2 linked regions of the Stegostoma tigrinum genome follow. Each later gene encodes a partner of the first gene's protein in a complex. Links are inferred from orthologs where the notes say so. Each region holds a gene or a part of one and is shown in the gene's direction. Other genes may lie near its edges. The genes, in order: oprk1 and pdyn.

Region 1 (16,029 bases):
TATATGATTTATATCTCTGTGGTCCTCAACATCCTAAAGGCCACAAATATTATAACATTAGTCCTGGAAAATGTGTTGGTGAGCCTTTTCCTTAGCCACTGCTGCCCATGTGGTGTATCGGCACCCACATTTCTGTTAGGGAAGGAGTGTCCAGAGTTTTGATGTCGTGACAATGAGGAAGCAGCCATAAAGTTCCAAGTCCAAATGGTGTGTGTGTTGGAGAGGAAGTTACAGGCAATGATGTTTCCATGCGTCTGTTTCTCTTGATCATCTAGGCTGTAGATGTTGTGGGTTTGCAATGTTTTCTTAGGGGTGCTATAATGAATTTCTGCACTGCATTTCAAACATACTGCTGCCTCTGTGAGCTGCTTGTGAAAAGAGGCAATGTTAAAAGTAATGGAAGGGGTGCCAATCAAGTAGACTGTTTCTTTCCTTAATTTTGACAAGTTTTGTGAATGTTGCTAGAGTTGTACTCGTCCAGGTAAGTAAACAGTATTTCATCACACACCTAACTTGTGCCATATAGTTGGTGGATAGGCCTAACTGCTAACCTGCTCTTGTCACCACAGTTTGTGTATGTTGGACCAGTTCAGTTTCTGGCCAACAATAACGTGTACAGTGCTGATAATAAGGGATTCAGTGACGGCGATGCCATAGAATGTCAAGAGGTGATGGTTAGACTCTCTCTTTTTGATGAGTCATTATCTGACACTTGTGTGTGGTGAATGTTACCTGCCATTCATCACATCAAGTCTGGATATTGTCTGGGAGTGTAAGAACATTAATTGCTTCAGTATCTGAAGAATCATGAATGATGCTAAATGTTATGCAGTCATCAGCAAACATCTCAACCTCTAACCTAAGACTGGCATGAAGGTCATTGATGACACAGATGAAGATAGTTAAGGCTAGGAAATTACCCTGAGTTGATGGCATTGTAATTTCTGTGACACAGTAAATATGCAGGTCCATGTTACATTAATGGTGAATGGTGAAGAAGATAATGTACTGAATGATGTATTTTCACTTGGTTCATGTTTCTGTGAGCAGCTAAATAGTTAATACTGGACTTTGGACATAGCCCATAATGATCCTGTCGCGTATAAGTTGAAAGCAGTGATGACCTTTCCACACACTGACATTATATTGACCGTGATTAATGTAATTTCTAGGTCTGGAATGAACATGAGGTAATTCTTGTATTATTTTAAGGTGAAGTGCAGCTTCAGGAAACCATTCATACAAAAACTAAACACCGAAAGTCTTAACTCTTTATTCCTCATCACAAAACATGAGCTCTGTTGTGGTTTTCCAAAACTGTTTCAGGAAATTATTGTTCAAGAAGTGACAGAAATGCTGGTGATACACGATAAACCTTTTATCATCTGAATTTCTGCTTGTTACTTTCTTGATAACAACGATAAAAGAGCACACCTAATGAAGAGGCATCTGTTCAATAATGGGGAAGAAACAAGAAATTAGAGACAAGTTGAAGCACTTACAAAAGTTCAAAATTGTTGTCAACACAACATTTATTCTAAATAAAAGCCAAAAGAACTACATATGCTGTAAATCAGAAACAAAAACAGAAATTGCTGGAAAAGCTCAGCACGTTTGGCAGCATCAGTGGAGATGAATCAGAGTTTAATGTTTTGGGTCAAGTGACCCTTCCTCAGAACTTTTCCAGCAATTTCTGTTTTTTGTTTCTGATTTACAGCATATGTAGTTCTTTTGGGTTTTATTTAGAATAAATGTTGTCTTGACAACAATTTTGAACTTTTGTAAGTCACTTTTGTAAATGCTTCGCCTTGTCTCTAATTTCTTGTTTCTTCCCCATTATTGAACAGAAGTTGGTCGAAAGGGATTGTTCCATGATACTACAAATTGCTACATGTTTGCCTTAGATTAAATATTATAAATAAAAACAGAAATTGCTGGAAAAGTTCTGAGGAAGGGTCACTTGACCCAAAACATTAAACTCTGATTTATCTCCACTGATGCTGCCAAACCTGCTGAGATTTTCCAGCAATTTCTGTTTTTATTTTTAATATTTAATCTAAGGCAAACATGTAACAATTTGTAGTATCATTGAACAATTCCTTTCAACCAACTTCTACCCATTAGCAGTACTGAATGCCTCTTATTAACCAACATTCCTCACCAAGGGTAGTCCAGAAGTGCACATATCAGGGCATACGTCCCGATGGAATGGCATGGTGGATCAACAGCTTTTGCTGCTGCCTCATGGTGCCAGAGACCTGGGTTTGATTCCACCCTTGGGAAACTGTCTTTGTGGAGTTTGCATATTTCCACCCCCACCCCCTTGTCTTTGTGGACTTCCTCTAGGTTCTATGCTTTCTTCTCACAGTACAAAGATTTGCAGGTTAGGTGATTAACCATGCTAAATTTCCCATAGTACCAGGGATATGCTGGATAGTTTAGCCATGGGAAGGGTGGGTCTGGGTGGGATGCTCTTCAGAGAGTCAGTGTGGACTTGATGGGCAGAATGGCTTGCCTCCACACCAAAGATTCTATGTACTGAGTTTGTTCAACAATTTCTGTTTTTGTTTCAGACATCCGGCATCCACAGTACTTTATTTCATATTATTATGATGTCAGGACATCTGATAATTAATAAAAATCAACATTTAAGTATAATGTTATATGAGGGCCAATTTTTGGGTGAACATTTCCAACTATTGCTCTCACTGTAAGCAGAATATTTTTAATTCTGTTATTAGGATAAAAATGTAGTATTATGTATGACTTCTAAACCAAAGTTCTAACTTTGAAATTGTCTGGAATTATAAACTGTAATAGATGGAATTGTATCTGTGAAACTGCAAGCAGATGAGTGCTTTGCTAAGGAGAAAATCAAAAGTTGCACCTTCAGAGTCATAATTGATAGCTGCATATTACATAAGGAGAAATGTACCAGGGTCATTGCAAAAGAGGTCGACTGATTTAAATATCCTGAAGTTTCATTATTTTGATGGCATTGGTCTGTGAGTGATGAGCCATTCCAGTTATGGAGATTGTAATTTGAAGGCGCACATACAATACCAGACAGAGGCGCAACATGCTGCCCACCTTGGGTAGTATCAGCCAATTGAATACCAGTCAGCTAGATTACTATGTGAGGCCAATATTGCATTTTAGGAAGTTTACAGCGTCAGACTTTCAGTTGTTTGTCACATCTTGAATTTGTGCCTTCTTGAAATATGGATGTACTTGGCAGGGAAAAAAAGGTTTTTAAAGTTGTCCACAAATCTGGATTGCACCATTAATAAAGGTTTATCAGCTAAAATTTCACAGCTTACATTTTTTAAAAGGTTTATTCATGGAACTTGGCCATTGTTGAATAATTTATTGCTCTTTGTCTTTGTATTGGCTTATTTAAAATCTAATTTATAGCTGCTATTAAATTTGATTTGACTGTTAACTCATGTTTAACTTATCTTGAGTTTGGTTTGATTGTTGAAGTAAGAGTTATAAAAAGTTACATTATGTACATTGGTTTCCTCCATTGGCTTGTTTGGTAAGTTTAGTTCTTATAGCTTATACTTCTCCACAGGGATCAGAACATTATATTCAGCCATATATTTAAATCCTCACAGTAGTACTTTACACACAGGTGTAGTGAGAGATATGGCATCTTTTCATCACCTTGCCAGTCGCCTAGTAAAATCTAGTGGGAGCATTATGCCTGTTCTTGCTGGTCCAAAGCTATTATGAATAAATCCACAGAAATATCACCAGAATTAGACAATGTACATTTCTATTTGAATCAAAGTTCTTTTAAATTGTCTTAGGTTCCTCAAAGTTTAATGTTTAAGTTGCAGCCCCAGCTCATGAAAAAATGGTCAAGTCATTTATGATGCCATAAGGACAAATGCATAGAATTTTCTCTAAGGTACGCTTAACACGCTAGGCATGAATTTGCTCAGCTTTTTCCCTCATGTCCTTGCCTGAGATCATCTTGCTTCAGAGATCACTTTCACTTATTTGGTGCTATTCTTAATAAAGTATTGATCATTTAACATCCTCCTCTAGAAAAGTTAGCTGATATTTATTAATGGTTCATTCTCATTATGTCCTGTTATGTCCTCCTTAGAATTTGCTACTCTCCCCATTTTCCCAAAAATGCAATACTTAATTCCTCTGCCACATCATTCCAACCTTGTTTTTCCCTCTAAAATTATTGAATATGTTATTGCTTCTCGTATCTGTGTTCAATTTTCCTAGAACTGCGTTTGAATCACTTCGATCAGATTTCTGCCCCACCACAGTATAAAAGTGATGCTTTCCATAGTCATGGGTATCACCCTACATGACTGTGCCAATAGCACGCTATCCTTGCTCACCCTCCTTGACCTGGCTATGAGTTTTTAGAAGGTTGACCTCACAATCCTTCTACATTTCACCACTATTATTCAAAATGGTGAGCCAACTCTTATCTGACTGCATTATATATCTCACTGTATCCTGCATGGCTTGCTTACTCCTCCTGAATTTAACTTCAAGTGTCCCAAAAAATCTATCCACAGTCTTTCATCATCTACATATTTCACCTCAACAACCAAACTAGGATTTCAATTTTAACATGGATTCTGACAGTTTCCAGTTGTGGAACACCAATAACTCTTTCAAAATTATCACACTGCTTGTCTGACCTCTAGTTGCTGGATCGGCAAAACTTTCCTTGACCTAACTATTGAGAAGATCAAAACCATTTTCTTCAGACTCTTCTGCAAAATACGTTCAACAGTCATCAACTCTATTTTTCTTCTGGTCAACTATTTAAGGCAGAACCAGGCTGTTTGCAAAATTGAGAGTGTATTTGGTACTGAGATGATCTGACTCCATTTCCATCACGGGTATATCCTTTCCCCCTTCCCAAATATCATCTGATACAGCCTTGTCTTCATTTAACTACTGCTAGAATTCTCTGAACTTGACTATTGCAATGCGCTTATGGCCAGCTCTACCCTTCTTAAACTCGAGTACTCGAGTTACTGTAAAACTGTGCTGCCCATGTCTTTACTCACATTGAATCCCTTTCCTCAATTGTCCTTTGGTAATGTGTATTATCTCTCAGTTAAGCAACACCTTGATTTTAAAATTTTTATTTTGTTTCCCATTCTTCCCTGGCTCTTACAATGCCAACTTGTCCAACTCCAATACTTCTGACACATGTGTTTCCCCAACTGTGACCTCAAGTTAGCATTCTCAACGTTAATCACTTCATAATTGGCAGGTCTGCCTTCATTTTATAAAGTCTGCAACCCTGCAATTCATCTCTTAGGCTTCAATGCATATTTTTTTCTTTCTCCTCATTTAAGATATAGCTTAAAGCCTTCAAATTTGATTTAGGTTTTGCCATGTGTTCCAATGTCATTTAATGTGATTCAATGCTAAACTTAATTTTATCATGCTCCTGGAGAGTGTCTTAGAACATTTTGTTACATTGAAGGCACTAGATGAATAAAAGTTGTTGTTGCTTTTTAATTCACATTCAATAATTATCTACTAGGTAATCTGGTGATTACTAAAATGTAAGGTGCATTTGCAGTCAGCATCAGTGACCTTTCATGCAGTACTCTAAATGGCCTCTTGAGAGATGTTCTTCATTTAATTAATGTAACGTCATGCACACATAAGACATAGGAGTGCAAGTAAGGCCATTCAGCCCATCGAGTCCACTCCTATAGTGCAACTCATATGGTGCATTGGATATATTCAACGAACGGTTTTCTTTGGAGAAGAAAATTGGAGGGGAAAATATAGCAACATCTTTAAGCATGGGAACTAAAATAGCAAAATAAAATTGATTACCGCATTTTGCATGCAATGTTTTTTTTCTGATCACTCAAACTGCAAACTTGGAAAAGGTGATTTTTCATATTTGGCAATAAATTTTATGAAGTAACACATTGTTATGTATACACACAGACAGGATTCTACACTTCCTTGGAAAAAATACCAAAGTACTGAATGCTAAACAAATGTGCTGATTGAAGGAAATGCAAAAATTTTCATGGAGAAATTAATTTTTTAAGTGTAAAAATTAAATAGTTTTCTGAGTGCTTGCTAGATTATCGTAGGTCACATGATAATAGTTTTGAAAAGATGTCAGGCTAGTATAGGTACAGTAAATGTGGATGGGATCCAACAAAAGGTAGCAGGTTGAATTTGAAATTGACATGATGACCGGAAGCAAATATTGTTGCTGATGAGGGATTTTGCAATATGCACTTTGTTTGCAGTGCATTAGAAGCATAGTGTATGTTTGGTGAGAATAAAATCTCTCAGCTAAAGAATGATATTAAAGAGCCTGTTCAGAAAAGTGACAAATAAAATTCAGTCTGGAAAAATATTAGATTCTATCTAATATAGGTGGCATATTGGCTCAGTGGTTAGCACTGCTGTGTCACAGCACCAAAGGTTGGGTTTCAATTCCACCCTCAGGAGACTGCGTGGAGTTTGTACATTTTCCCCATGTCTGTGTGGGTTTTCTCTGGGTACTCCAGTTTCCTCCGACTGTCCAAAGATGTGCAGGTTAGATGGATTGACCATGCTAAATTTCCCATATTGTCCAGGAAAGTGCAGGCTAAGGTGGGTTAGCCATGGGAAATGCAGGGTTACAGGCTAGAGGGGTTGGTCTGGGCTGGATACTTTTTGGAGGGTTGGTGTGGATCCAGTGGGCTAAGTGGCCTGCTTCCACACTGTAGGGTTTCTATACTTGGGAAAGGCAAATAAGGTAAGAGGATGTAGAATAATTGGTAGTATATTGACAAATTTAGACATGGCTACTGATGCTTGAAGCTAGAGGACTAGAGGACAGACAACTGTTATAGTTAAGTAAACTTACAAACCATTTTCCAACTTTGCTTTAGATGCTGAATGAAGGGATCGAGAGGTTATATGAAAGCTTCAATTTCAGCCACAGTCAAAGCCCTACACACAGTTCTGGACACCACCTTATTGAAAATAAATAATAACATAAGATAACGTGCAAAAGAATATCGCTAAGACTTACATTATTTAACTTTGAGGAAAGATGGAATAGACTGGGCTTGTCTTTGCTGGAACAGAGACAGTTGAAAGGTGATTTAATTGATTAATAAAATGGTGAGTATGGAGACAGGATAGAAAAAGCTTTTACCGCTCTTCAGAGGGTTCGATAATCAGGGACATTATTTATAGCCAAAATAACTGCGGATCCTGTAAATCAGGAACAAAAAAAAGTTGCTGGAAAAGCTCAACAGGTCTGACGGCATCTGTGAATGAGAAAACAGTTAACGTTTCGGGTCAGGTGATCCTCCCAGAGCATTTGGTAGAAGGTTTAAATGAAGGTTGAAGAGGTATTTTCGGTTCAGACGACAGTGAGGGTCTCAAACTCAATCGCTGGACAGATGGAAGCACGAATCACATTTTAAAATTATTTGATATGCATTGAAATCTACCAAGATGTTGAAAAACTGGAAAATATGATTAGGTTGGACAGCGAGATTTGAGTAAAACGGCTGTAAATGCTTCTAGTCCTGTTAGCATAGCTTCCATCGTATAATGTAACATTGCCACGGTGAACTCTGAAAAGAGGTGTTGGTTTTTATACGTACTGAATGCTCCCGCCTCCATCGAGCTGCGTTTGGTCTGAGCGTCATCAAGTGGATGCTACGTTAGAAGTGTAGCGCTGCAGCAGCGACTCCAACGTTTGTACGCTGGCAGATCCAGCTGCAAGGGGTTCCGGCTGTTCACACCTCACCTTGCATACAAGGAAAAGTTCACGTCGGTGATCTTTGCTCTGCACTTATCGACTGTTACACAGAAGTTTTCAATCTCATCTGTTCGATAAACCTGGGTAAGAATTGCTTCATGTCCCTAATAATGCCTCTGTACCTGGTCCTACTTGTTCAATATTTTAAGATTTTCTTCAAGCACTTGTTTTAGTCTTTATTATACATATATAGATTATGTTGTATTTTTATGTTAAAAATTTTCTGTTTTATTCTTTTTATAGATGAGACTATGGGCACTTCAGTGGTAATTACTAGAGAAGGCATGGGTTCCAAATGTATGTTGCACTTCTCTGATGAATGTACCCCTGGCATTATCCCAAACAGCACTTTCCCAACCACTTCATATTATTTGGAAAACAGCACGGATTTTTTTGACTTTCACACGAACACAGTGAACACCCTTATCCCCATCAGTATTACCGCTGTCTACTCGCTCATTTTTGTGGTGGGTACGGTGGGCAACTGCCTAGTTATGTATGGGATCGTAAGGTAAGAAAATTCATTTCATTTGTCCCTTCAATCTGGCATGTTCACCATTCCCGAGAACGATCGTGAAGTCAAACTTTCGGGATAAGACCAATAGAATGAAGAAAGCATGAGTGCGAGAAAAAAAAATCTGGCGACTGCGACCAGTGTTGAAATAAAATAATTTGATGGAAAATTCTTAATGCAAAATACGGACAATTGGACCTTTTTGTGAAGTGGTGTGAATGGTTAATAACAGTTTGTAGATTAATAGTTGTTACAGCACCGAACAGCCGGAATATTCAGGGTCAACGTAATTTGTACAGTTCTTTTATTACTTGTTACTTATCAGACAAAGATTATTGGGATTTATTCAGCCAGGTCCCCTCTATTACTCTCTAGTTAATGGCTAATTTAAAATAACATGTTTCTAACACAATTAGACAAACACAAGTGCATTAGCAGTGGTAATGAAATCCTGAACTCTTTTAGACAACGGTTTGATTTATAATTATAACGCCCCCAAATGGGAGCAATAGGCACTGACTTTGGATTGACAGATTAATCTAAAGCATTCTCTCAAGAACAATAAATACGTTTTCGACGGAACTGGGAAAATACCTTAGTTGGGGGCTAATGTTGGAATATGGTAATTTTTTTACACAGAGAAATGTCAAGTATATTAACAAACATAAAATACAGCGCACTGCAGGAAAATACTGGAAACACTGAGCACGACATATGGTTTCTGAAGAAAGGTCATCGGTCCAAAATGTTAATCTGACCTCCGTTTTGACGCCAGTGCTGCCTAATTCGTTAAATGTTTCTGTATTTTTTGTTTGAATTTCAGATGTAATAATTTGTGTTTCAAGTTGGTACGTGAGCCAAATCTGTTTTAATGTTCTGAACACATAGAAGCACAAACATGCTGATGCAGTTTTCAAAAAAAATTGTCAATGGTGCATGTAAATTTGTTTCCTCACAATAAATACCGACTTCTCCATTAAGTGGAAGGCATAGTCGTCAGTTCCTGGTGTGTGCAGTAACCCGTTTTCTTAACAATTTAGCTAACACTGAAATACTGTTGAAATTAACCATCTATGAACTTTGGTGCAAAATAATAATTTGGTGATGGGTGTAGGGTGGGCATTGTCAACTGCTACCCATGCTATACTTAGCTGGAAAACAAGATTTCAGCAGTCAAAAATTGAGAGGATTAATACTGCCGTCACCCTAGAGACATCTGTCCAAGGGCTCCCTACTGCAATTTTTAAATATAACCATAAAAGGTAATACTGCACATAAAAATAACAAAGGACTGTGGATGCTGGAAATCATGAACAAAAACAGAAGTTGCTGGAGAAACTCAACAGGTCTGACAGCAGATGTGGAGAGGAAGTGGAGTTAATATTTTGAGTCCAGTAACCAATCTTCAGAGGTGATAGTAGCTGGCAAAAGATGGCATATATAATATATATGTGTGTGTGTGTATACACAACACACAAACTGGGTAACTGCTTTGTAGAATACCTGCATTCTGTCTTAGAAATGACCCCGAACTTTCAGTTGCCTGCTACTTCATCACAACATCATGCTCCCTAGCCAACAATTCTATCTTGAGCCTACTGCAAAGCTCCAGTGATTCTTAGCACAGACTGGAAAAACAGCATCTCATTTTCCACTTGAGGAACCTACAGTCTTCAGGACTTATTATTGAGTTCAATAATTTTAAAACTTGAACGCCTTTACTCATCTATAGATCTAAGCCCAATCATGACATGAGCTGCTTTCAGCACAGTCAGCATATTTTCATCTACTTACGATGCCCATTATCAGTTTTTCTTTGCCCTGGCGCAATATCAATCCCTATATCTACCTAAATGTAATTCCTTCTCAGCTCCATCTCCATCTCTGCCTATCCCCTCATTCCTTTCTTCTTTCTTCACACCACTGCGCCATCTCTAACCCCCTCTCATCCCCTGTTTTCAGCATATATATCATCTTTTCCTAGATACAATCAGTTCTGAAAATGGGTCACTTAAATATTAACTCTGCTTTCTCTTCACAGAAACTATCAGACCTGCTGATTTTCTCCCCAATTTCTGTTTTTGTTGCAATGTTACACCTTGCTGTTTGAGGTGAGAATATACTTAAATATGAAATTTAACTTTCTATTTTGTGAGTTTCTGGCTCACAACCAGCTTTTCAAAGATAACTAAGGATGCACACTAAATTTTGGTAAAGCACACATCCTGTGAATTAATAAACAACAAATTGTTTGTGTTCTTCCCATTTGCACAGACAGAATTACTGGGGCTCTGCATAAAATACTATAGTTCTCTGCTGATGAATGCTCACTGTCTCTCCTTGTGTCACAAGAATCCTGAGATAGGAGTGCCCCTGCTTGAGCCACCAGGCTCAGTTCAAAAAGTTGTTTATGTCTTAATCTTCCACAACTATCAAACTATAGTGTAGTTGCGTTTAGCACCTGCAGCCGTATCATTACATTCAAATAATGTCTGAACCCCAAAATATTTTTGTCTATATTTCCACGTGCAGACAGGCTGTCCACAATTTCGATGTCAGCTCAAAAATTACCCGCCTAAGAATATCTGCCAGGATATCAATCCAAATTGGATTTTACACGGTTTATTAAATTAAATGATTCACCCACAGCATACTATACTATATGCTATATGTCTTTAAGGCTGATACTGTTCTTTTATTCATGTTAGGGGATGTGGGCATTTTTAGCAAGATCAGCATTATTTTCCAAATCTGATTGCTTTCAGAAGTTCAGATAACAAGGTGTACAGCTGCATGAACACAGCAGGCCAAGCAGCATCAGAGGAGCAGGAAGGCTGACGTTTTGGGCCAAGACCCTTCTTCAGAAATGGGGGAGGGGAAGGGAGTTCTGAAATAAATAGGGAGAGATGGGCAGGTGGATAGAAGATGGATAGAGGAGAAGATAGGTGGAGAGGAGTGCAGACAGGTCAAAGAGGCAGGGATGGAGCCAGTAAAGGTGAGTGTAGGTGGGGAGTTAGGGAGGAGATAGCTCAGTACAGGGAGGACGGACAGGTCAAAGGGGCGGGAAGAGTTTAGTAGATAGGAGATGGGGGTGGGGCTTGAGGTGGGAAGAGGGAATAGGTGGGAGGAAGTGCTGCTTGATGCGAAAGTCTTCTTGGGGCCTGGGATGGGGGTGAGGAGGGAGGTGCAGAGGCAGGTGTAACACTTCCTGCAGTTGCAGGGAAATGTGCTGGGTGTTGTGGGGCTGGAGGGAAGTGTGGAGCGGACAAGGGAGCCCCAGAGAGAGTGGTCCTTCAGGAAAGCAGATAAGGGTGTGGAGGGAAATGCGCAGGTGTTCACCTGCACATCTACTAATATGGTGTACTGTATCCGCTGTTCCCGTTGTGGGCTCCTCTACATTGGGGAAACCAAGTGGAGACTTGGGGACTGCTTTGCAGAACATTTACACTCAATTAGCACTAAACAACTGCTCGTCCCAGTCGCAAACCATTTCAACTCCCCCTCCCATTCCTCAGATGACATGTCCATCCTGGGCCTCCTGCAGTGCCACAACGATGCCACCCGAAGTTTGCAGGAACAGCATCTCATATTCTGCTTGGGAACCCTGCAGCCCAATGGTATCAATGTGTACTTCACAAGCTTCAAAACTCCCCTCCCCCGACTGCACCCCAAAACCAGCCCAACTTGTCCCCCCCTCCCTAACTTGATCTTCCTCCTACTTACCACCTCCTCCCACCTCAAGCCCCACCCCCATCTCCTATCTACTAACCTCATCCCGTCCCCTTGACCTGTCCGTCCTCCCTGTACTGAGCTATCTCCTCCCTAACTCCCCACCTCCACTCACCTTTACAGGCTCCATCCCCGCCTCTTTGACCTGTCTGACTCCTCTCCACCTATCTTCTCCTTTATCCATCTTGTATCCGCCTCCTCCCTCTCCCTGTTTATTGCAGAACCCCCTTCCCCTCCCCCATTTCCGAAGAAGGAAACATCAGCCTTCCTGCTCCTCTGATGCTGCTTGGCCTGCTGTGCTCATCCAGCTCTACATCTTGTTATCTCAAATTGTCCAGCATCTGCAGTTCTTACTATCTCTGCTTTCAGAAGTTGTTGATGGTGAGGCTCCTTCTTGAATTTGTTGAGTAACTTACTAGATAATTTCAGAGGACAGTTAAGAGTCAATCATATTGATGCAGACCCAGAGTTACGTATAGTCCAGAACAGATCACAACAGGAGATTTTCTTCCCTGCAGGACCATGATGAACTGGATGAGATTTTACAACAATCTAGAAGTGAGGAAAGATTTTTATTCCCGACTTAGTTACCAAATTGAATTTAAACTTCCCAGGTGGCTTAATGGCAGTTAAACTTACCAGATAACAAAATCATCAGTTCATGTCTCTGGAAATGTTTGGTAGAGTAACATAAACACTGTTGCATACAAGAAGAAAGCATATGATCTACACACCTAAATGCCCACTGCATAAACCGTATTTTGCTTTTGATACTCAATTGACCCAGATGGTATATTGCAAGGATGGTTATAACATTGAGTATTATGTCAACTGAATGGAGCATGCTGTTATAGCTTAGAAATTTAAACTTTGAATTTGTGTTTTATTCTTTAAAAAACGATTTTGGTTTTACATTGTCATAATTACATGCAAACACATAGTGGGCAAACCTCAACAAACCCCGAAAAGAACGCGAGACATGCTGTGTGATTAACCTATCACAGTTATCACATGTACTGGGGAACTGCACGATACCCAAGTGTGTGCGTGCGCACGCGCGCCACCACTCAGAAAAAGCTTACGTTACCTAAAACCAGCTGGCAACTCTCAATGTGGAAGTGCTTTTAAACTGGAGCAGCTGCTGAAACCTTTTCTGGAAGTGAGTTTGAACTCTCTGAATTCAGTAAAGTGAATTTCAGTGCAACAATGGAGAACATTCCATGATTCTCAGACACTGTACTGGAGACCTTTAAGGAGGGGATGGAGAGGGAGAGAAATGGTCTGTTGCAATTATATTATCATCTGTGGTGCTGCTATACCACATTGCTGTTGTCATACCCTTCTTGCACTACACCACCTCCACACTGCCATGGATCTCTATGCTACATAGTACCAACCTGGTGCATTTTGAACTGGGCCTGTAGATCTGAACTGCTTGGAGCTCTCCTGCAGTACTACCTGCAGTCTCCATTAATTAAACTATTTTATTATTCAGATTGCAGTAGCTAAAACAAACTGCACAGAAGAAATAAAGCAGGAAGATGTGCACAGGAGGGCTTGATTAATCAACCTTTGCATGCAATATGGCGATGTGAATGTTAAGTTGTGAGACTATTGATGAATGAACTTGCATGGGTTTTAAATTTCCGAAGTCTCATACATTTGGGGAGGGTTGATTAAGTTGGAAATTAATTAATGTAACTACTTTATTCAATGTAGAAACAGGTAAGGAGAAGGAAACCACAGGCAGATTAGTTTAAGGAACAAAAGCAGAAGTTGCTGGAAAATTTCAGCAGGTCAGGCAGCATCTGTGAAGAAAAAATCTGAGTTAACATTTCGGGTCCAGTGCCCCTTCCTCAGACCTCACAAGACCCGAAAAGTTAACTCTAATTTTTACTTCACAGATGCTGCCAGTCCTGCTGAGCTTCTCCAGTAACTTCTGTTTTTGTCCCTGATTTACAACATCCACAGTTCTTTCAGTTTCTATTCAGATTAGTTTGTTTGGTTATGATAAAAATAATAGAAACTATTATTAAAGATGTTACAACAGGGTAATTTGAAAGGTTTATAGTAATCAGGTTGAACCAGTAATGGTTTTGAGAAATAGAAATTATGTTTGACCAACTTATTGGGTTTCTTTAATGTAAAACATATGCAATGGATAAGGCGGAGCTGGTAAAAGTACTGCACTCAGTTTTCCAGAGAACATTTGATAAGATGCCACATCAAAGGTTATTGCAGAAAATAAGAGCTCTTCATATCAAGGCTAACATTGGCACAGAAAGAAGACATATTAGCCAAGACGAAACAAAGATCAGGCATAAATGGATGTTTGCTCTTTGGTTGGCAAGAAGAAATGAGTGTTGTACCACAAGGATCAGAGTTGGGTTGAACTTTTGCAATTTATGTGAAATACTTTGATGAAGGGACTGAAGGTATCATTGCTAAATTTGTTGATGACACAAGGATAATTAGGAAAGTAAGTGGTGAAGAGGGCTCAAGGAGGTTTCAAAGAAATATAGAATCCTTTAAGTAATTGGGCAAATGAGTATAATGTGGGAAATGTGAACTTCTTCATTTTGGCAGAAAGGATATAAAATAAAAAGAAGCATCCTATCTGAACAGTGAAAGATCACAGAGCTCTGAAATACAGATGGAGCTGAATGTCTTGGTGCATGGATTACAGAAGGTTAATATGCAGGATCAGCAAGTAACTAGGAAAGCCAATAGATTGGAAGCTGAATGTCTGAGGATGAGGACTAGCAGCTAAATGTCCCAGAATTTAAATGTTTCAGGTGTGACAGAAGGGAATGTAAAAGGGGTGGGCGAGTAGTAATGGAGTATCTTACAGGTCCAATGAGGACGAATAAAACAGAGGACTTCTACAACGAGGCAATATGGGTTCAGCTCAGAAACAGAAAGGTTGAAAGTATAATGCTGGGGTATACCACAGGCGTCCCAACAGACGGTGGGAGATGGAGAAGAGAATATGGAAAGGTTTAAAAACAGCAGGGTTGTTGTGGTGGGTAATTTTAACTTCCTCTATTATGACTGGGACTCGCTTCTTGTTAGGGGCTTGGATGGGCCAGAATTTGTCAGGACCATTCATGAAGGTTTCTTGACGCAGTATGTAAACAGTGCAACCTGGATAGACTGAGTTTGTTTTCACTGGAACGCAAGAGGTTGAGGGATGACCTGATAGAAGCTTATAAGATTGTGATTGGCATGGATAGAGGGATATCGATCCTGTAAGTGAAGACAGTTTTGGTGTGGAAGGGCTAAATGTATCTATGTAGGCTTGGAGGGCCGAAGGCCCTGTTCCTGTGCTATATTGTTCTTTGTTCTTTGTTTATTGCAAAGGGCATTGAATCCAAAAGTGGGGAGGTTATACTTTAGTCATACAGAGCATTGGTGAGACCACATTTGCTGCACAATGTGCTGCATTTTCTCACAGAAGATTGAGACTCTTTAGAATTATTTTCCTTGAAAGGAAGTATAAACAGGGTCATTGAATATTTTTAAAGCTCAGAAGATTGATTCTCAATAATCAAGTGAACATGAAATGATCAGATATTGTTGAATGACAGAGCATATTAAAAAGTTGAATGGCCTATTTCTGCTCAAAATTTGTACGCAAAAATACGCTCACTGGTATTATTATCAGATCATATACCGGAGTCATGAGTCATGTGATCACCAGATAGCCCTTGCCCACAACTAGCTGCCCTCTGCTTTGTTGTGGTAGCTCAAATGAAAATGGTAAAAAGCAGTGCTGCATAATTCAAACATGTTAGCTGCCGCCAAGATACATTGACTGTGTTGGGTGTCACACCAGCTAGTTATAATGGGAGCCAAATTCGTGCCTGTTGCAGTCCTTCTCTGAATTGATGTACGGTAGCCACAACACGTTGTTTGCCAACAATGACAACAATGTACATGGAAGCCTGTAGTCATTATGAGGGTCAGGTTCTTGCTCTATTTCCCTGACAGAAGAGAATAAAATGCC
Region 2 (15,632 bases), on another chromosome or scaffold:
TTTAGAGGAAATCTTATTTTCACAGCACTGTGGATAATCAGTGCACACAATGTACTGGGGGAGGGTAGGTTGTGGTAATGACTGAGCTAATTGAATCCTGAAAGATATATTTGCCAGACAAATTCAGCAGCATGTGTTGGAGGAACAAGCCAGAGGAACATGTATCTGTCCATTATGGCTGTTGTAGGAGTTACAGTCCTTGTGGAGACAAAATTGTGTCTTCCTTCTGAGGACACCCTTCAGTATATATTGAGACACTATCAATCTGCTCAATGACATAGATTTAGAAAAACTATTAGTTGAAAATGGGCATGCATGAGATGTTGTGGGCCATTAGCAGCAGTAGAATTGTATTAACTGACAATCTGTATCCTCATGGCCTTGGTATATCCCCACTCTACTATTATCATCAAGAAAAGGGGTTCAATGAGGACTGCACAAGAACATGCCAGAAGCAATACAAGACATGCTTAAAAATGATGTGCCAGCTTGATAATGCTACAACACAGAAACACAAGCACGCTAATCAGTAAATCGGTGTGCAATAGATGGAGCAAAGCAATCGCACGACCAGCAGCAAACAGATCAGCGACCCTGTCATGAGTGATTGTATATTTGCTCTACTCAACCTGCTAGTTTACACTTAAATGAAACTGGAGGAGGAGGCTGGTAATGTTTATGTTGCATTATTTCTACCCATTCAATATAAATCACACATAGTCTATTGTTGGAGTCAAGAAGTTCTACTCTAGCTTTTGAAGACATCAGATATATCTGTACCATCTTCCTAAGGTCCTAGTAATTATGTTTGACCAAATTAATTATTGCTAATAAGTTATAAACTTTCTTGTTATCTCAGGAACAAAAACAAAGTTGCTGGAAAAGCTGAGCAGGTCTGGCAGCATCTATGGATTAGAAAACAGAGTTAACGTTTCGGGTCCGGTGACCCCTTCTTGTTATCTCAGTGCAGTACCTCATTGTTAGATAAACTGCAGTGGCATATCCTCTACCATTAATCTCTACATGAGCCTAAAAAGGAAAAAGAAGGGAGATTTGACGGCAAAAACTATCTTAAATCACCCTTACCCAGTACCACATACTGTTAAAGGTGGCAAATATCTTTCATTCACCTGGAAAATACCAAGAAGTTCCTTAAGCATCCCCGCAATGAACCATAGAACATCAGTGAAAAAGGCAAATCCAAAACTTTTGTAACCACCTTCAGCCAGAATGCCAAATTGATGATCCACCTCAGCCTCCTGTTGAGAATCCCGGCATCACCGATGTCAGTCCTTAGACAATTGGGTTCACTACACATGAAATCAAGAAACAGATGGTGACATTGGATACTGCAAAGACCATGGGCTTTAGCAACTTCCCAGCAATGGCATTGAAGACGTGTGCTGCAGAAATAGCCATATCCCCTGGCCAAGCTGTTCCAGTACTGTTACAACACTGGCATTCAACTCAAGCTTTAAACATTTATTTAGCTATCTCCTGTCAATAAAAAGCAGGATAAATTCAATCCAGCCAATTACCATTCCATCCGTGCACCCTCAATCATAAGTGTAATGATGAAAGGTGTCATTGCCAGTGGCACTTACTCAGCTTTATCTACTCAAAAAGCTGAAGTCAGATTCCACCAGAGCCGCTAACACTAACCCAGAACTCATTCCAGCTTTCGGCCAAATGTGGCCAAAAAAGTTGAATTCAAGTGGAAAGGTAAAAGATTGTATTTGATACCAAGGCATCTTGTGACTGAGCCTTGCATCAAAAAGCCCAAAGCAAATTGAAGTCAATAGGAATCATGCCTAGCACAAGGAAGATACTTTTGGTTGTTGAAGGTGAATCACTTCAGCTCCAGGACATCACTGCAGGAGCTTGTCAGGGTACTGTCTAGGCCCTAGCATCTTTCACCAAATCATCATTGACCTGCCTTCCATCATAAGTTCAGAAGAGTGCAATCTTTGCTGCTATTGTACAATGTTCAGCACCATTTGCCAGTGATAGGGTCACGGAGTGATTGAGACATACAGAACAAAAATCACTACTTCCTCTGGCAGCTCATTCTGTGCATGCACCACTCTCTAATGAAAATGTTGTCCCTCAGATTCTTTTTAAACCTCTCCCCCTAGGAAAAAGATTTTGGCTATTCTTTGGCCTCTCATGATTTTATAAACCTCTATCATGTGACACCTCAGTCTATTCAACCTCTTCCTATCACTCAAACCGTCCAGTTCTGGCAACATCTTTGTAAATCTTTTCTGTCCTCTCTCAAGTTTAACAACATCCTTTCTATAGAAGGGTGACCAGAATTGTATACAATATTCCAAAAGTGGCCTCACCAATATCCCATACAGTCACAACATGATATCCCAACTCCTATACTCAATCTTATGACTAAGCATTCCAAATGCCTTCTTCACCACCCCCACCATATGTGACTCCACTTTCAAGGAACTATGTACATACACCCTTAGGTCTCTTAGCTTAGCAACACTCTCCAGGGCCCTACCATTAACAGTACAAGTCCTGTCATTCCTCGGACACCTGCAATAGGAAATGGACCACGTTCAGGCTTGGGCTGAAAAGTAGCAACAAGAATTCACATCAGACATGTGTTGTGCAATCATCATTTCCAACAACAGGGAATGTAACAATCTCCACTTGCTGTTCAATGGCATGATTATTGCATAATTCGCTAACAGGAACATTACCAATGGGGCACCATTGACCAGAAACTCAACTGGACAAGCAATACAAATACTGTGGTTAGAAGCTAGGAGTTGTGACTTGAGTAACTTACCTTCTCATTATCCACATCTTGTCCACCGTCTACAAGGAACAAGTCAGGAATGTGATGGATTACTTCCCATTTGCCTGCCTGGATAACTGCAGCTCCAACAACACTCAAGAAGCTCAACATCACCAGGACAAAGCAGAGGTCTACCAGCTGAAACAATCACTCCTTTCACCACTGATGCAGTTACAGCAATTTGGACTACTGACAAGATATACTACAGCAACTCACCAGGTCTGCTTTGACAGCACCTTCCAAGCAAGGGTGCTGACTGGTTGGATTGTTGTTGGCATGGAGATGCAGCAAAAACTGTTAACTGTCTTAATTAGCTGATTAAATTCAAACCAGTCAACACTGATTGATTAGAGCACTGTCACAGGATGGCAGCGGGAACTGATTGTCTTTATGGCCCTTTCCTCAATGACAGAGCTGCAATGTGCAGACTTATTTTTGCCCATGAAGAAAAGGGCCCTATGCATGGACAAATGTAGTTTCTAGTTAACTGTGAGCTGAACATTTTTTTATTCAATCATGGAAAGTTGGCATAGCTGACTTATTTCTTATTCGTCATCCTTCATTGTGCATGAGAAGGTGATACCGAGTTGCCCTCTTGAATCACTCCACAGAGGGTAAGTCCACCCACAGTGCTGTTGAGAAGGAAGTTTTGAGTTTGAGTTCTGAGATTTTCAAGCATGGGCTGGTTGAGCACATTGGCATACTTCCTGCCATGGACAGTCACAAGGGCATGTTGTTAGATATGGTATGCCAGTAATCAAGATGTACAACCTACGTACCTGGAATCACAACAACACTGAAAGTCATAAACCACATTACTCATCTGTGTGGTTGGTTGAATGTCTTTTTGCTTGGTGGCAGCAATCTGTTCGTGGAGAACACCACTGTTGTGTTTTGTGATAAGTAGCAGAATAACATGGTAACTTTAGTTTGTTGCTGAAATTTTTGAGATAACTTCTTCTTGTAAGGTTATCTACATAGTAGGGCATCACTTAGAGTGAAAAGTGATGGTTGTAGACACTTATGTGAGTTTCTGCAATATGTAGTGAGTGATATCATGATGAGGGTATCAATTATCCAGAGGATTGTTTGGATCCATCCTGTTTCAATACCAATCCTACACAGCAAGTTGATGGCCCAACTCATGAGAGTGCCAGTGATGTTGACTTTGTATCACTTAGAACTACAGGAATCACAATGTGTATATGAATGAATAAACACAGGCTTCAATTTTGCTTAGTAGAATATTTTGATTAGTAGAATATTGTTATTATTTGGGAACTTAGCTTTGAAAGGGAGGCAACATTGATTTTATTTTCCAGTTCTATGAAGGTTTCTTAGCTCTTTTAACAAAAGTCAGAAAGTCATTCGGAACAGTGAGCTCAAACAGCTTTTCCAAGAACACTTGATCTAAGCTATATGGCTAGCTAATTTATGGAGTGTTTGCAAAGTTGAATTTTTATGACGTGCAGAAAGACAGACCAGGGTCAACATTTTCTGAAGAAGGGTCGAGGCCCGAAATGTTAGCTTTCATGCTCCTCTGATGCTGCTTGGCCTGCTGTGTTCATCCAGCTCTATACCTTGTTGTGCCAGGGACAACAATCAGGTTTCAATTGACCTCTACTTAAAACTCAGTTAGCAACATTTAGCGAGTATCTATGCATCTCATAGACAGACAGTAATAGAGGGAATTCTATGTACAGGAAGTTGCCAAAGGGAAATACTCACAATCTCATTGATTAAGAAGATCTTGAGGAGTCAAGGTAGGAGCCTACCTCCACCACACTATCAGGCAATGCTATCCAGATACTATCCACTTGTTACGTTAAAACATTTTCCCTTGTATCAGTTTTCTTTATTTTATTTATTATTTTAAATTTGTGCCCTCCCATTCTGGATCATTTCATGAGTGGGAACATTTTCCCTCTGTTTCTTTCTGTTTGAATCACTTGTGATTTTGAATAATTCAACCATTGTCCTTTAAACTTCCTCTTCTCCAACAGGAACAGTCCCATCTTCTACAATCTGTGTTTATATTGAAATTATTTATCTCTGGAATAATTCTCATAAACCTCTTCTACACTACACTATCTCCAGCACCTTCACATTCTTTCTCATGTACAGAATGCAAAACAGGACACAGGTAAAGTACTGAACTTAAGCATCACGAAAAAGAGGCATTGAAACTTTTCATTTTGCATTAATCAGATCTAAAACATAAGAAAGCCACTTAGAAAGTAAGCACGGGGTGCAGGACAACTGTTAACTGTCAGTGTTAACTGATTAAATTTAAACCAGGCAAGTCAACTGTGATTGGTCAGGATTTTGCCATGCAGATACAGCAAGGGTTGAATCCATTTCCCATTATGCAGCAAAAAGGTGCAATATGCTATATAATTCTTTTTGCCTACAAAGAACAGAGCCCTGTTTGAGAATAAATGCATCTTATCGTACGTACAAACAAATCACATTATGATCCCAGCTGATAATCTTATAATATAATGTCATATTTTGTGTGGTCAGGATTATTTTGTACATGCTGTCCAATAGGAGAATCACATATAATGTTGGAAACTATATTCTCAGTTTTATAAACATTGACCGGTGGAAAACAGTCAATACACTGGTTCTGCAGATAGTCAAAAGATTGCATTGCTTGATATGGTCCACCAGTATTTGGGATGTATGACCTACACATCTGACGATAGCACTAAGACTACCAAGCAACTAATTAGGATTAGAAATGTGCAACAAATACCAGCCTCGCCAGCGATGGTCAATGTCTTTAAACGTTGCACAAAATCATGTTTCAGTACAGAAGTAAGATTTAAACTAATAACAAAGGTAAAATGGTACAGTTGCCATAATCTAACCAGACTATGGGGTTGCTCTCTCATTAGAGAGAGAGAGATATAAGTATAACTGGTGATGGTTTAACCTCAGGGTCACCACACCTCAGACAAGGGAAAAGGTTAAGGAGAGTTCTTCATGGTAACCTCAACCAGTGCAGGAATTGAACCCACTGTTTGGCATCATTCTGTACTGCAAACCAACTTTTTGAAAAAAAGTAGGATAATAGTAAAGATGAAAGAAGGCATGGCTTTCTACCATTAACATTACCCAGTTTTTAAGTGTATTAAAAACATGTGAAGATGCAACAAAAATAATCTTAACTTATTTAAAAGGATGGGCTGGACTGATCAACATTCTTCTGTCAACATGACCACTAACAAATTAATACTGCATGCGTATTATTGACAGCCACAAAGCTGATAATAAAGAGGCTTTATTGTCTTGGGTAGTTTCTCCACAATAACTCCTCGCCCACTCTCGCAATATTCCCATGTCCAGTCCAAGTTCATCATTCACTTATATCTTATTCAGGAACCAACCAGTGACTCTGTGCTAATGCTAACTGATTACATCTTTCATCTTGATTCATGAAATTTCACTTTCTAATAGTCTTATTTCTTTGTAAGAAAAGGAAGAAATTCTTTCAACTTTTCAGCTTAAGTTTGTATTTTCACTAAGTTGATTGCAATTTTCAGAAGTCAGTGGCCCTGGACTTTGTTTTTTTTCCCCTACGTACTTGAAACATAAAGTATGTCAGATCTGCAGACTTTTCCCCTGGCCATTGTGCGTTTCAAAGTGAGGTTGTTGCATTATGTAGTGCAATTCACCGTCAAGGCTAGAACTTTCTCACAAAGTGTCTATATATAAATCACTGCTGCATCTACTTTATAATATGTTATCAAAGTAACTGAATTATACCTTTGTGACATTTCCATTTCTCATGCTATATAGTTTTGTAGTGTCCACGTGTGAGTCAATTTGTAAAGTATGACTAAAATATTTAATAAAAACAATACATAACATTGTTGCTTTTAAAATAATTTAATACTGAAGTATTCTGTCAGTTACATTATTTAAGTCCAAGTCAGGAAATTAAGTAGTCTTGTAAATAGTCACATCCATTCAAAATACAATAGATTACATTTTTTTGCATGTTAGACCCAGCTATCCCATCACACTAGCACTGGCCTACAATAAAGCATTATCTTCCCCAAAGTAATAAATTTTAAACCTTCAGCCATGTCTCCAAATTCCTTTATGGTTTCTCACATCTTTTGATGTGTTCTTGTATCACAAGTACCATATTATTGTTGATTAAGATTGAAACCCATATTTTCAGCTACTTTAGTCTTACTTTTGGAAGCTTCTTCTCTAATAACACTGAATTTCAATTCTTCTTATTGATTTGAGAAATCTTCTAAAAGCCACCTTTTGATCCATGTATTGTTTACCCCTCCTATTTGCTGCTTCAATGCCTTGGAACCCACTTTTAGGTGTAGAATATCCTTTATTCTTTATTGTCACTTCTACTACAATATAGAAGTCTAGGAGTACAGTGAAAAATGTTCACAATGGCTGCCTTTTAATGGCGGCACCTTAAGCACAAGTACCTAGCTACAAATCTTATAGAGTTAAAAAAAAAGTGGTCTTACACAGAGGATTAAAGGAAAGCAAAAGCATTACTTAGTTACAACATAGCGATCTTTTTAAAAAAATATTATAGTCTGATAACAGAAACTCAGCATGCGGCACTAGGCCCAAGTCCAGCAATTGTCCCCCATCGCTCCAGCTTCCAGTCCGCTCCTCAGCGGCACTTAACAGCAGCCAGCCAAGTGCTATCTCTACTTTTTAATTACCTTTTCTCTTACATGAAAGATGCAAAAGTAAACAAGTGACGATTGAAAGAGGTGAGTATTAAAATATATGGGCAATGAGCAAGGGTATGATGTTACCAAGTGGCTCACTAGATTAAATACCTTCTCAGATTCAAATCCGCATGATGTCATTCTGTGTACACTAACATCTGGTTTGATCAAAGCACAAGACTTGAAACTTCTTTAAATATGGTGAAATAATGTAACTTACATAACTAATACATATTACAACTGGAGCATGCCAGTACATAAACTGAAGACAGTTAAGTACAGTCTTGCCGTACTTAAGCACTACCAGCGTTAATGGCCTTGAGAAATATCACTAATTTGCAATCCCCTTCCACCTCGGACATATAATCACGCGATGTCAATTTTATCTCATTCTCTTTAGTGATCAAAGAATGGATTACGTGACCGTGACCAAAATTAATTCAAGCACGTGATTTTATTGGTACAAAAACAGAAGTTGCCGGAAAAGCTCAGCAGGTCTGGCAGCATCTGTGATGAAAAATCAGAGTTAACGTTTCGGGTCCTGTGACCCTTCCTGATTTTATTGTTCCGTGATTGTATTTATTCAAGTGGCCTGGCAACGTTGAACTTTTATTTGCATCAGCAATTAATAAAATGGTGAAAAATGTAAACCGGTTGGCAGCTCTCCCCTGAAGTGTGGAGCTGGATGAACACAGCAGCCCGAAGCGCCAGCTTTTGTGTTCCTAAGATGCTGCTGGGCCTGCTGTGTTCATCCAGCCACGCACTGTTATCTTGGATTCTCCAGCATCTGCAGTTCCCATTATCTCTGGCAGCTCTCCCCTTCCAGGAGCGTTGCTGTGGCCCTTATGTTTTAACTGGCTTCCAGCACACTTGGCTTTGCCAAGTCCTATTGTCTGCAATGTATCGTGATTCGTCTCAATATTCCGGATTTACTTTCTCCCTGTACATCCACATTGGCTGTGTGATTCGAGAATAATGTAATCGATACACATCTAACAGTTCGTATGGCTGCACCACACCATGAGTGTGTGAGAGAGATTAAAGGAGAAATGATGAAATCAGTTTAACCCTGAAAGAGAAAATTAAACCTAACTAAAATGTGCTTATATATAGAAACTCAAAACGCTTATTTCAACAGGCACAAGATGCAATCTCTTTAATTACCTGTGATCAGTCAGTAATGTGTTTGTAAACTATTAGTTTATTTTTATTGTCCATGCATAATGTAATGTAGAAACTTTAGCAGGAGCCCATCTAAATGAATTAGAAGGTATTGTTGCTGACTGTTATCCAGTGTTATTGTGGCGCCGGTTTAATTGTCTATTTGCCAGAGGCAGAGGGCAAGTTAGGTACAAAGTGTGGAGCTGGATGAATACAGCAGGCCGGCACAGTTTGAATGAAATCTCTTAATTTGTACATTTTTAATTCGAATTAAAATTGCTTCACTTTACAGTTGGAGAATACTGCAAGAAATTAAAGCTGCTTAGATGCCGCCCAGAAATGAGAGGTAATCGGGTTGACACTTTCGCCCAGTGTATAATTATAGAGGGGAAGCGCAGTGAGTGTTCACAGCGAAGGCTCGGTTCCAGCATAAAAAGCGCATTTTCACGAAAAGAAAACGTCAACAATCAAAGTAGCACCAGACAAGAGTAATTAATTTACTGCCTGTTATTTTTAAACCCCGAATTGTACTTGTCTTTATAACATTGCGCGGGAGTGTGACGGCTATGCAATATGTTGGTAGCATTTGAGGGAATTGCTGGACCATAATTAATCCAATCGATGCAGTCATTGGCTCAAAAAAGACGTGCATTCAGCGTCGCCAATGTCAGCATAACGTTGTGGGTAAATAAATAGCGGATGCTGGAGGCTGCAGGTTGGAAAACCCTGGATCTCAGCTTCACTTCTCGAGGCGGAGGATAGCTGTGTGGACGGGAGCGGTTTCTGTAAGGCGCGCTTCACAAAGGGAGTCCACACTTTTCACCGGTAAAATTGCAGCGATTCCGACTGGTTCGTTCTCAAGGAATATCCAGGTAATTTGAAAGTAAGTATTCATCAAGTATCGGGTATTGATAGGAATCTCTAACTAGAGGGATGCAGGTTAAAGGGCAGCTCTGTACAGTGAAACTACCCTGGAGTTCACGCTGGTGATAGCTAACCTTTCTCGATTGACTATTTACTCAGTTTCCACCTGAAGTGAATAGCGCAGTTACACACTAATGTGTTAAACAGCTGCTGATCTGTGAAGACCATCCAAGCGTGTTCTCAAAGATCGGTTCGCGACTGATTCATTTGAGGGAATAGTGAAGCCCGTGCACAATTTATTTTAGGTAACAATAATTTGTTCAAAATTTCACTTCCTTGCAATTGCACAACAAAGATCCGAACTAGTTGCTCCGCCAAGGAATTTCTAATTGGCGGAGGTTCCTACAGTACATTTCTTGGCAAGAGATTCACCCATTTCTTCTTTGAATTGTAACTGAGAACTGTTTTTTTAAATTAGATATCACAGTTTTCCCATCCCCGCATAATCTCTGAATTATGTTGGTAGCGCACTTGTTCAAATCTACTTTAGTTCTTAACTTTTATTAGTGTTTGGACTAAGCTGTACAATCATATTAACATTCAGGGTCTTCCTTTGGAAGGTCTTGCCTAATATAAAGGATGGAGCCATACAATTGTACTTCTCTGAACAGCTCATGCGTTCTTTGCTTATGTAGTGTTCAAATGTATGTTAATGAAGGTGCAGAACGGCTGAGATGGAATGCCATGGAATACTGATTTAACATTTAGAATGTTCAAATTTAGAAACTTATTTAGCCGAACCAATTTCTCCAACATTCTGCAAGCGGTAGTAACTGCTGCAAAACTTAAATAACAACGTAACGCTTCTAAGTCCACAACTTTCGAATCTTTGGGTATTTCTCCGAATCCATTGTCGGAAACCATCCTGACAAAGGTCAATTAATGGAAGTTGAAGATGAAAGTAGAAAACCTGTAGTTGCTGCTTCAGGATCTGAATGAGCAGAGGCGTCTTCAATGTAATGTTTTTTGTTTTCGAATTCACCCAAATCCTTGTCTAAAAGCTTCGATCTGAAACCTCAATATGTTCCTTTTTAACCAATGTTTGAGTTGGAAGCAATGTTCTAGGGACAATTACGCTTGATGTTTCAGAGGCTGGTGATGGAGTGGAGTGTGTTTGTCCTGGTGTTGTCCTTTAGTCCACTGCACACGGTCCACGCGGATTGTGCCAACTGGTGTTCGACATGCAATTCAGTCCTAGACAGCTCAATCAAACCATTGGTAAGATAACCGCACTCGGTCATCCAGTTCAGAAATCAGAGTAACGCTCAATTTTGGCTCAGCACGAGCTATAGTTTTCTACATGAATCAGCTGGTGACAGAGCCGTGTCTCATTGTAGTGAATACATTCAGAGGTGCCACTCATTCCCATCAACCAGATTAAGGGACACAAATAATAGCCGTATATTTATCCTCAGGTATTCTTTCGCAGTAGAATTAGTTAATTGAAAGAAATCTGTTTTCATTTATGTGCGACTGTTGGTCCAGTAAACTTGCGAGTTTTCTACGAGCATTCAGATCAACACGCTCGGAATGGCTATGAAATCTGTATATACCTATACCAACGCTCAAAAAAAGCAGATTACTTAGCGTTCCAACCTCCCCAGGAAGATATATTTACTGTTAGCTACATGCTGCAATACGTGACAAGGATGTGGAAATGTCTACTGCGGATGCTGGAAATCTGAAATAAACACAGAATGCTGGAGAAACTCAGCAGGTCTGAAAGCATCCATGTGGAGAGGGAAACGGAGTTAACGACTCCGAAAGGACTGAGTTCTGAGGAGGAGTCATACCGGTGCCGAAACTTAACCCGGCTTTCTCTCTCTACAGAAGCTTCTGGATCTGCTGAGTTTCTCCAGTAGTTTCTGTTGCGTGGAAATATGTTCGATTTCCGAGTCACAATAAGAACACGCAGTAGAATGTAGCCCAATATAACGAACCAGGCGACTAGAAACAGTAAGTGATATATGGGCAGCAACAATAGCGGTGTCCTGTGGAGCATTTAACAGCTACTAGCAATTGCAGAACAGTTGGGAATTTATCAACCAGAACGCGTCTAGATGGAATAGTGTTGATGATTAAACTTGCTTAATTAGCTGCAGTTTGAGAACAAAATAAGTGCAAAACTATAAATGCAGCCAGTAAGATTAAACTCTTGCAAGCTATCGTTTTCTTCGACATATGGGTAGATAATATTCTAACGCTAGCTGAAATACGCAACAGCAAATGTTCGGCAGGGGGTGTTTTCTAACACCTTGAAAAGCTTGTTTGAATGGAGATTGGTTATAACGGAGAAGTTCAAGATTAACGATTTTTCAATCCTTCTATCTGCTCTCTATTGCCATTCCGCTACTCTGGTTGCCCTCCGTTTGGTAAATTTATTGCCAGGTTTGAGGTGTTTGGAATTAAACTCCTCTACCTGCTGAGAGTGTAAGCACAGGACTGTCCTTCAAAAACAATGTACATAATGATCCTGCTCCTGTTTAATCTTTGAAAAGAACGTGCATTTGTAAAGCAGCTCTTCTGATATAACTGCAGAACGATGTTACCCCTAAAATGTTGCAGTTCTAAAATACAAGTAGATACTGTTGGAAACATTCCGGAGATCAAATACCACCAGTCGAGATAAAAGCCGATGTTCCCCTCGGCGACGCGCAAATGGCTTTTTTTCAGGGTCTGATATTGTTCCCCAATAATTTTCACAACTTTTACTGTTAAAGTCTAATTAACTCGCATGCTCAAATTCTAACTTTTTTCAACTGTTTTTCAGTGCGGGATATTTGGGGAATGACCCGAGGTTTATACCATTACAGTAATTTCAGTACCAAGTATAACAGTAAATACTGCAATCTCTGGAGCAGAAGGTTATCTCTATCATTTCTGGATTTCTTTATCTTTACTTACTTTTTACACATTAGCTGTCCATTACATGTTGAGGTCAAATAAGTATCCTTGTTTAACTATTCACAAATAGGGCACTCCTGTCTGGACCACATCATATAGAATAGAATTTGTTGTCCATTTACTTCTACATGAAAAATACAGCAACATGCAAAAGCTCTTTTTATTGCTAACATCTTTATGATACAAATTATGCCATTTTTGACTAATAAAATTGCTATTTGCTTGAAATTAATTTTTATTAATTAAGGTCTTTTTTGGCCAATACCAATTGAAATACTATTCTTATGAAAGTTAATGTAGCTGTGAAAAGTGCTATCTTCTAATTGCTATCTTCCAGACCTGCACTTTAGAGTGTGAAGGGGTAGTGCTTTCTACCAATGAGTGGGAAAAATGTGATAAAGCGTTTCACTCGTACAAGCCTGACCATTTTGGCATTGTCAATGAAGATCTTCTTGACCTAGGCACAGATGAAAAGGAAGATGAGAGTGCAGAGGCACATTTTGGAAAACCGCATAATAGTCTTGTAAATCATGATGGGGGCTTCATGAAGAAGATTGACAAGAGCAGAATTTATGCCAAACAATTAGCCCAACAAAATGGTTACAATGGACAAAATCTGAAGTATGGAGGAATTCTGCATAAGTTTGACGAAAGGGATGCAACTGAATTAGAGAAGAATTCTCAGGAACTTGAAGCTGCAGTGGAGAATCTTCTGGAAAAAAGTAGTGACAGCCCCAACATCCAAGAGCTAAAGCGTTATGGAGGATTCATGAAAGGCTTTGGTTACAAGAGAAGTGCAGAACTGGGTGATGAAGAAAATCAAAACATGGAGCTTCAAAAGAGATATGGGGGTTTTATGAGAAGAATTGGCAGACCAAGATATAAGTGGGATAATCAAAAAAGATATGGTGGCTTCCTGAGGCGCCATTTCCGGGTTTCAGTCAGGTCAGATGATGGTGATGCAAATGATTATTCTGAAGAGAATTCAGACTTCTAAAAGAGCCGAAGTGATGTGCAACTAGATGTGAGAGAGCATTCTGCCAAGATAGATTCAGTATTGAAACTATAAATGTATTGTTTTGAATGCACAGATATTTTTGCTATTAAGTTTACAATAGGCTGTCTAAACAGCAGTTGAATCTGTACTTTGTTGGCATAGTTTGTGAATCCAATAAAAAAAAGTTCTCTAGACTTTGTTTTTGTTTGCCTCCTGTAATGGAACCTCAATAGTTTTTTTTCATGCTTAGATTACAATAAAGTAAGCAATGTCTGTGGCTAACATGCAAACTAAAGCTGGCATGTTTAGTTTCTTTTTTTTAGTTTAAAAATTGACATAAATCATCGTTAAAAATGTCGTCATGTTGCACAACTAGTTTATTTCACTGACATGCTTAGACCCAGTTGACAATTGACACACTTCTGTATGGTCACCAAATTGAAGTTGCTGGTACACAAAGAAATATCCATTCTAAATGATTTGATGAAATATTGTCATGCAAAATTCATGCAGCAATTAACATTAGAAAGGCTGTAAAGTTCTTTTTTAGCAATACATTTTACATGTTAAGTAAGAAGTGAAATGATCTCAGTGACATGAACACATATTACATCATGAGCATTGTAAACTGCAAGAAATATAACATTATGATCATAGACATAGCAAATAACAGATATGTTCCACAGGACTCATTGTAATTTTCTTTTATGCTTATCTCTTTCAATGAAAATTGTACCATGAGAATATTTATTTGTATGAAGAAGCTTTCACAGCTAACATTTAGGTTAAATCCCTTATGAACAAAAATGTTGTTTGGCAGGCAGTTTTCTTGCTGGAAGATTCAGCTTGTTTTAAAACGTTTCTCATTCTAATTTAATCAGAGCTGCCTTTGTATTCTTGCCAAAATTGTTCTGGCATAGATTTCCAAATTTGATTATACAGATCTTCTCATCAGATACCTTGATCTTGATCACCATTGCTAGATGAGAAATTTGGTGACAGGAAATTGCAGCTTGAATTTTGAGGTCAGCACAATAACTATGCTGATAACTGTCCACAAACATTTTGTGGGCTTTGAAGGAGTAATGTGATGTCATCAGGTATTCAATCCAGTGTGATAATCATTGCAGGAGATGTGTAATGTGTGAGCAGGGAAAATAACAACATGGTTAAGAAGGTAGTGAACATCTCAAGTGCACACATGATAAACTTAAAACTTACACTCTAAGCTATGTTTTCAATCATTGGTACTCCGTGAAGGCATCAAAGGAAAACTATTCACTTTGGTCACTTGGCCTCAAAAAATGATTCTTTATGTTGATGTAATATCTTTTGTTGTGTTTGTACTTAAAGAGTCCTTTTTGAATTGTCAAAATGTCCCAGACTTTTTTTTAAATTTAGTGAGATGACAGACATTACTATTCATTTATTATTTTGAAAAGAGTCCTCAAATTAATAATAGGATTGGAATCGTTAAAACATTTTATCTCACATGGTTTTAGAACCACGCCTGAGAGTTTTGGCTCAAGACAAGCTGGCCAAAGAGAAGGATAAGTCAAAATTGTTTGCAAGCTCAGGTTTTGTAGAACAGTTTATTGCCTGCTAACACTAAAATTCAAATATTCCATACCTGGGTACCTTGTACATAAAATGGCACTGTAAGTGGTGACTTTGTAAATCTTTCACTGCACTCATGTGAGTGCACACGTGACAATAAATCTAATTCTATATAACACTACTCAACTTTATATGGTAATCTCAGATATACCAGGTTCAGAGCTTATCGTTAAATTGTTGAGAGATCATACTCTACATGTTCTTTCTTCACTCTAACTTAGCACTGCCTCCACTGTGCTACATTTTCTCATTGGAAGCAATGCCATGACATCATTTGAAGGTTGCACCAGGGTCTTAAAGCCCTCACAATTCCCCAAATTTTTTTCCAACATTATAACCATCAATTAACATGTTTACATATTCTCAACTGTGTTACTTAAGTTACTCCCTGTTACAGCAATTACTGTACAGTTTGTCATTATCTCTCTTACCCTTGCCTCAAGTCTTTAACTTATAAGACAAAATGTAGGAGCAGAAGTAGACGATTCAGCCCATT

What was found.
Region 2: the proteins of oprk1 (region 1) and pdyn are in contact, whole or in part, in a cryo-EM structure (PDB 8F7W), measured with the Homo sapiens proteins. The link is inferred for Stegostoma tigrinum from reciprocal best matches to the Homo sapiens genes OPRK1 and PDYN. Residues at the interface, in NP_000903.2 of Homo sapiens: Thr111, Gln115, Trp124, Val134, Ile135, Asp138, Tyr139, Met142, Lys200, Glu209, Cys210, Asp216, Tyr219, Lys227, Val230, Phe293, Ile294, Glu297, His304, Ala308, Leu309, Tyr312, Tyr313, Ile316, Tyr320; in NP_001177821.1 of Homo sapiens: Tyr207, Gly208, Gly209, Phe210, Leu211, Arg212, Arg213, Ile214.

The regions. Positions count from the first base shown.
Region 1 is NC_081358.1:67,907,459-67,923,487, forward strand, and holds the start of oprk1 (kappa-type opioid receptor), read left to right. Parts: upstream 1-7,714; 5' UTR 7,715-7,864; intron 7,865-8,023; 5' UTR 8,024-8,031; coding exon 8,032-8,291; intron 8,292-16,029. UniProt on the Homo sapiens protein: G-protein coupled opioid receptor that functions as a receptor for endogenous alpha-neoendorphins and dynorphins, but has low affinity for beta-endorphins.
Region 2 is NC_081372.1:35,923,775-35,939,406, reverse strand, and holds pdyn (proenkephalin-B), read left to right. Parts: upstream 1-9,386; 5' UTR 9,387-9,566; exon of another isoform or gene 9,567-9,577; intron 9,578-10,707; 5' UTR 10,708-10,716; coding exon 10,717-10,836; intron 10,837-12,859; coding exon 12,860-13,519; 3' UTR 13,520-13,713; downstream 13,714-15,632.